Schizosaccharomyces pombe: one gene and its partner. The protein of the gene in region 1 interacts with the protein of each later gene in a pairwise test. Each region holds a gene or a part of one and is shown on either strand. Other genes may lie near its edges. The genes, in order: SPOM_SPCC663.09C and isp3.

The links.
Region 2: the proteins of SPOM_SPCC663.09C (region 1) and isp3 interact in a two-hybrid assay, tested with the Schizosaccharomyces pombe proteins (one large-scale study listed by BioGRID).

The regions. Positions count from the first base shown.
Region 1 is NC_003421.2:1,648,463-1,652,448, reverse strand, and holds SPOM_SPCC663.09C (dehydrogenase), read left to right. Parts: upstream 1-2,108; 5' UTR 2,109-2,159; coding exon 2,160-2,921; 3' UTR 2,922-3,409; downstream 3,410-3,986. Other genes in the region: trm44 (tRNA (uracil-O(2)-)-methyltransferase), read right to left, coding at 1-1,177; SPOM_SPCC663.08C (short chain dehydrogenase ), read left to right, coding at 3,688-3,986.
Region 2 is NC_003424.3:93,918-97,663, reverse strand, and holds isp3 (protein isp3), read right to left. Parts: upstream 1,875-3,746; 5' UTR 1,665-1,874; coding exon 1,116-1,664; 3' UTR 698-1,115; downstream 1-697.

The DNA of each region.
Region 1 (3,986 bases):
TCGACATGAAATAGCATTTCTGATTTAATCTTGCTAAAATGGGAAGATAAGGAGTCAATTCATCCGCATGGTTTCCGATAAGGAATGAGTTTTCAGAAAATCGACCGTCATGAATGTTTGCAGCGGACATAGTGAAACCGGCAGGCAGCTGAGGAAATGGAATCTTTGTTTCAAAATCATGCAGAAAATAGGGTACAAGAACTTTTTCGTATAACTTTACTTGAACCCAAAGGGGATATGTCTCCCATGATTTTCTTTTTCTAGCGTCGAAGCCATATCCATTATAGCCCTCCATTAACAACAGATAAACAAGTAAACCATTTCCGCAACCAACATCAACAAAACTAAATTCTTTGTTTGATGAATAAGTTTGTTTCCACAATTCTATAAGAAATGCTGCAATAGCCAAATCTTCGAAAACGTGTTTACCAGGATCCGTTTTTTCTACCCAATTGTCAACAAGTTGCTTGGCGTATTTATCTTTCAGAATAACATAGGTATCTTGAAACTTGTTTCTTTCCACAACAGTGTCGTGAAGCATGCGTTTTTGGTACCCTTCCACTGCCCCCTTGCAATGCTTGTGTAAAACAAGTAAAAGCATATGAGCTGTTCGCAATAAACGGGAAGACAATTCCCTTTGAAAATCCTTTTCTACTAAATATAAAACCTCAACACTTGATCCTTTGTAATGAAAAGCAATTCCAGCTACTGCGGGATGATAGTATGGAAGATGATTATAGGGCTGTTCCAAACTTTTGTCCAGGTGAGGTAAGTACATTAATATACGATCATTTTCAAGCTTCTCATGTAGCACAACAACCGTTTGGTCCATTGTCGCATCCAAATTAGTATTACGAGGAATAATTCGACGATCGATCCACCTTGAAATTTGGTACCTTTCGTCAAGATTTTCGAAAACTGATTTCTGCTTGTTTAGAATTGAATCATCCTCTTGAGAATCAAGAATTATGTCTGTTCGCATGATAACACTGCTTGTCCGCTCTGGATGATAGACTAATTCTATCATCATTTTGTCAAATACCTCAGCTGCATAGCAGGTATCGTGCTCCAAAATGGATTGCCATTGGTAAGATGACTGCAAGTCATAAGGAACAGGTGGATCACATGTCAAAGCATTTTTTGGTTCTCGCGGCTTCCAATACGCAGGAACCTTCATAAATGCAATGCGCAAAAACCTTTCAATTGAACAAGTACGAAAGTACTGTTAGCAGAAAAAAAAATGTCGGAAACTCTAGCGCTTAATTTTAAGCATGTTTAAGGAACGCTTAATATACGTTAAATAAAATACGGATGCGTTGGAGATTTCAAAAACATTTGAATCTGTGTCTTTTCCTGTAGTAAAAAGGGAGAAAGGATTGAATAAATGGTTTGCTCAAAGTTTAACTAGCATTTCCATGAGTTCAGGAATTGCTAAAGGGGAACTTAAGGGTCTAAGCTCCTTTCAAATGAGTAAACAGGTAAATATTAATTCCATAAGGTAAACTTTGCGAATTTTTTTATTCGCAAATTTCCATCCATTTTGTATTGGTCATATAGTCGTAAAGAAGCCTAATCTTGAGATGCTGTAAAACTTCATGTCATATAATCTTACTAAGACACTCTATATACGATTCTCTCTTTCTCCTCAACAAAAATATTATCTTACAGAGGGTTTAAATTGGTAGAGCAAATTGACCTAAGAGGTGAACCAGTAACCTGAGAAAAAATTGCAGCTTCGATGTATGTATGAGATAGATTCTGTAGTTGTTTTATTATAATCTGACAAGTTCTTTCTACCGGAAGATTTCAAAAACGAGGAAAAGTAGTTCTTAAAATTTTTTCATCCTTTACTACGCTCTACAATCAAAATTTTCGATTTCATTAATTAACACGGCTTCTACTTTTTTTATTTTATGCAAGTCCCATATAAAAAGACTGTTAATATCAAGCAGCAAATACCGATAGAATTTTGTAGAATGAAATTTGACGCTTTTGGTTGAGAAAATCAAACGTGTGCAAAATGTCACAGCTCTTCACACGTAAACGAAATAGCGAACAAACACTCCTTATCAATAAAAGTACAGCAAAACACCAAGGAAGTGTCAGTTACTATTAACCAAAAACTAATTGAGAAACGACTTTGAGATTGTACTATAAAGATGGCTACTACCAACAAAGTTTACTTTATTGCAGGAGGAAATCGTGGTATTGGACTCTCTCTTGTCAAAGAGTTAAGCAGTAGAGAAGGAACGACTGTGTTTGCGAGTGCTCGCAAACCCGAAGCTGCTACTGAATTACAAGAATGGAGCAAATCTCATCCTAATGTTAAAACTGTTGAATTAGATGTCACATCTCAGCAGAGTGCCAATGAAGCTGCTCAAAGCGTTGCGAAGGCGGTCGATGGAATTGATGTTCTTTGGTTGAACTCTGGTATTTGTCAATCTTACTATACAGTTATGGAAGCACCTGAAGAAGTTTGGAATGCTCATTATCAAACCAATGTTTTAGGACCTATCCATGTGTTCAAAGCTTTTTATCCGTTGTTGACAAAGAAAAAAACCAGACAGGTTATCTTTACTTCCAGTGAATGCGGCTCAATGGGCGACTTTCGTGCTACTGGATTCTCTGCCTACGGTCAGTCCAAGGCAGCAATCAATTTCACTATGAAGGAACTTAGTGTCGAACTAGCTGATGAACACTTCACATTCATTTCCATTCATCCTGGAGTAGTAAAGACTGATATGAATGCTGATGCTATCAAAAAATTTACTGAAACATCTCCCGAGATGCTGACTTACTTAAAAAAGGTTACTATCATACCCGAAGAAAGCGTTTCATCCATGCTTAAGGTGGTTGACAATTTGAAACCCGAAAACAACGGGTCTTTTTATAGATATGACGGGACCATTATTCCCTTTTAGACATATCTTTTGTTAGTCATGATGGTTTTGATGCCCCTTTTTAAAGATGTTTTTGCAGTCTAGATTACAGCACGATGTTGTGTTCAAACAATCGTTCTTTTTTGTTGAATTTACATGCCCTTACAAATATTTACAAGCCTTCAGAACTTTAAAAAAGCTTAACATAACTATTTAGTGAGCATGGACATCTAAAAGATGTGTTTCATGTAACAAATTTGAGTATTCATTCGTATAAGGCTTATCGTCCAAAAAATGACTCCCGAGTGATCGATCATCTTACGGCTATCTTGTTTTTTTATAAATTTATTTTTTGGTGGAGCAATTTAAAGAGTCGTTTGTTTGTACCCAATTTAAAGCTTTTCTATACGACTGGCAACTCAGCATTCTCATGTGAGTAACTTCAAATACATATCATCTATATGATGCTTTGTCAAAGAAACCAGAAACAGAAGAATAATTTAACTGAAATTGATTAATTTATTAAAGCGGAATTAAGGGAATATGTTTAAAAAACCGTCTAAATAGGTTGTAAATGTATTTATATTGTCTTCTAATACAAAGTACAATAAGTTCTATACGATGAATTTTTATGAACTTGTCGCTGAGTATATTCAATTATGTAAGCATCAAAATTCACGGTTCAAATCACGTAAGCATAATGATTTGAAGAATTGGTATATAAGCATGAAGTTGATGATAAATTGCCGACACCAAATTATCCACTTTTCAAACGGATTCAAGGATCATTCAAACATTGTGTTAGAATATGTCTACTACCAACAAAATTTACTTTATTGCAGGAGGAAATCGAGGCATTGGACTCTCTCTTGTTAAGGAATTGAGCAACAGAAAAGGAACAGTTGTATTTGCAAGTGCCCGCAAGCCTGGAGCTGCTACTAAATTACAAGAATGGAGCAAGTCTCATTCCAATGTGCACATTATTAAGTTAGATGTCTCCTCTCTAGAGAGTGCCAATGAAGCCGCTCAAGAAGTTACAAAAGTAGTTGATGCAGTGGATGTTCTCTGGGTAAATTCAGCCGTTTTCCATTCTTTTGGTCCTGTCGT
Region 2 (3,746 bases), on another chromosome or scaffold:
ACGAATTGATTTTTTAAAAAATGTACACAATGAAGATTAATCATCTGAATTATTAAAGGGTAAAATGTTATTGTGAATTGTTTCAGCTATAATAAATTTGATTATTAGTTTGAATCTGGTACTTAATATCAAGTTCTCAATATAATGTCGTATTAACCTTCGTGCTTAGTTAGGTGTGCTCAATAGCTTGAGAAATGACCTGCGGATGTTTTTAGTATCCTTTCAGCCGAAAGAAGTTAATTGAATAAAGGTTGCAGAATAACGTATCATATTAAGGAAAACTGATTTTATTTTATGGTTGGTTCAATAATGTTAACCGCTGAATAGTTAAATCAAATATGTTCAATTACTGAATGGCATATAAACCTCTAAGTAGTTTCTCTAAGCAATACTACAATCCGATCATTTATGCACTTTATATTTTATCGTACTTAGGAAGCTTGATTGGGTAAATTAATTGATTAAACTTGAATAGTAAAAATCTTTGGATGTTGAATTAATTATTAAGTTGGTTGCTGAATCTAATTCTACAGAATTTGTTTATTGTACTGTGTTTTGCGACCACTTACGCATATCTCATTTCTTAGTATAGTCTTATATTTAACGCTTTCATACCAACTAACGAATTCAACCACATTTTTTAATTTACAAATAATCATGGACAAACAAATTAAACATACGAAAAGGTACACTGTATAAAAAAAAAAGAGCAGCCTCAATTTTATTCCGTGAACATCAACACGAGTAGCCTACATCTATCTAAAAGACAAAAACCCAGCGCGCAAGTATAACTAAAGAAAGGTGGGAAATTAGTTATTTTGATAAAAGTGTGTTGTCTGATACAGACTTGGATTCCACGTTAAAATGGATTTTGCCATTATCTTTTCCAAAATCTCAAATTTTCGACTCCTTAAAGTCAACTTCAAAACGCCAGATGCACTTTGTAAGTAACTACTGACAAACAACGTTGCTCCGAAAGTAATCGAAACCGCTTTAACATTCAAGAGTAGCTTAGGGAGTTTTTGATAGTTATGGTGCTTTCCATGGTATAATGTCTTTATCTCAATTTGGATAACAGCAATACTCTATTTCCTTGCATAAAGGGCATTTTTGCTCTATGCGGCAGGAGCAGCAGGAGTAGCAGCTGCCGCCGGAGTAGCAGGAGTAGCAGCTGCCGCCGGAGTAGCAGCTGCAGCAGCTACAGCTGGGGTTATACCTGTGAGTGGATCAGGGCAGGTTCTGAAATATGTGATGGGACCAGTAACGGTAAAAGCCTCGTTACAGCCATCGCAGTCACCATCACCAAAGCTACCCAGAAATGCTAAGCGCCTTGCAAGTTGGTTTCTGCGACCGCAACCGTTGTTCTGTTCAGACTCACAGCATTTGGGTTTCTTCTTCTCACAGCATTTGGGTTTTTTCTTCTCACAGGACTCCTCATCATCACTGCTATCATCATCACTGCTATATTCCCAATGATGGTGAGATTTTTTGTGTTCCTTGTGATGACGAGGAGGAGGAGGAGGATACCAGTAAGTTGGCTGCTGATGTTGGACATTGGGCTTTCCATCAATAGTAACTTTGTTAAAGGCATCAATTAAAACCTTCTTTTGCAAAATATCTAAGCTATCATCTTGCTTGTAAGAGCACAAATTTCCGAGACCCATTTTTAAAGCTGAAAAGTTTTACTAAAGTTAGACTTTTGTGTGATTTTTTTGAACAGAAAATTCAAAAAAATACTTTTAAAGATAGAAAAGTTGAAATGACTTTCCCTGTATTCTGAAGAAGAAATGCTTTGATTGATGGCTGCTCCTGTAGTTTTCTTTTTTAAAAAAACCGATTTCTAGTTAAGTGAGTAAAAAGAAATGGTAAGAACTGAATTAAAAGTTGGAATTTCCCCTTTCTTATATAGTTTTTTTTTTGTTTACAGTGGATGCTTTCAGCATAAACACATGTTTTGTTTATTAAAAAAAATGACGTATAATCATTTTTGGAGTTTCATGATTGGCTAAAACAAAATATTTTTAAAAATAGAGTTATAAGTCCCCATAAAAGAAAAAAAATACGTTGATAAAGGCACGAATCGCAAAGCTTCAATTGTTTACGTTCAAGCAAAGCATTAATGTAAATTCAATTCCTAGAGGTTTATTGGTTAGATTGCTTAGTGCCTTTGTTCGTCAAGTTAGTGTTTCGATGCCGACGGGATAATCGTGGGCGTAAAGATTACTACACTAGCCGTTTTTTGTTTACACTGTGACGAACAACCACAAATTCTATTATGCTATACATGGAATTAAGGATCATTGTTTTGTTTGCATTTAATTAGTTTACTTTTTTAAATTCTTTAAGTACGTCTTCTCTGATTCTGAAAACATTTGCTTAAGGCAAATGTTCGCATCATGAACACAAGTTGTAGGCTATCTTTAACTGTATCGCATAAAATACATCAAATATATACAAAATATTCGATTATTGGGTTGGCTTTTTGAAGAAAGATTTTCGTTTTCTGAGGCAATCAGATATAAAAATTTTCAAAATTGTTAATTGTTATGAATTTATTCCTTGTGTTTACGTTTAGCAAAGTGATTTTTTGTTTTTATGTCAAATTGATTATTTTTATGAACATCTTGTGACTATCTGGTTATGGTTCTTATATGTTACTAAGATAGCCCATGTCTTGTAACAATAATTTTTCTAGTATAACATAAAGTTTGTAAATACAGTCATGCCCTATAAGCTGATTTCGATAGAAAAACAATTCGGTTAAGGATGTTATATGGTTAGTTTGAATTAAATTTTTCTGAAATAATATCACAACGTTGTATATTGACTTCACCACATTACACTCAGCATTAGGTTTTACAATTGCATATCCTTAAAATTTTTCTAAATAACAAAATAGACTATAACGAGCTAGTTCAGTCGTCTATTCGATTTGAAAGCAAAAGTGGTGAGGTCAACTTTATAGTAAATTTCGGTGATTCGTTATTCAAACAGCTCTTCACCATAATATTATAAAATCTTTAAAACTTATGAGCAATAATAACAGAAGTTCAACAGAAAGTGATGGAAACATTTTAGAAAGGATCACTTGGTTAATAGCCGTATACGCTTAAAAATTTTATTACTATAAGGAGAGACGAAATGATATTAGATGTGTTTTTAAAAACGTTGGATTCGTAAGCGTGATACTGACAACTTTATTTAACGTTTGTGGTGATCAATCCTATATTAATATAAGTTGGGTAAAATAATCTCATTCGCTTAATGAAAAGCTTAAAGTCGTTTATTGCTTAACAATATAGAAACATTTAAAAAAAATTCAATTGTCACTAAGTTTTAGAATTATAAATTCGGCATTTTTTATTTGCACGAAGTACAAAGAAAACCGAAGTTCCCTAAAAAAGAAAGAATTTAATGTTACTATTATTCTAATAGAGCTGTGGTTTAAAATTCCCTCAAACTAAGCCAATAGTGATTACTGAATTTTTCCCACTATATTTATACAGTAGGTCAAAATTGGAGGAATAGTTGAACTATAATTATTTCGTTGGCGTTGTAAAAATCTTGAAGGCGAAAAATTTACTACTACGTATTAGCTTACCAAACCAATAAAGCTAAATCGATCCAGAATAAATAATTATTACTAACAGCCCAAACAGGTCGTTGATGGTTAAGTTGCGGGTGCCGCTTATCTATTTAAAGTTATCCGACATAGCGGATTATTACCGAATAGGATAATACATACT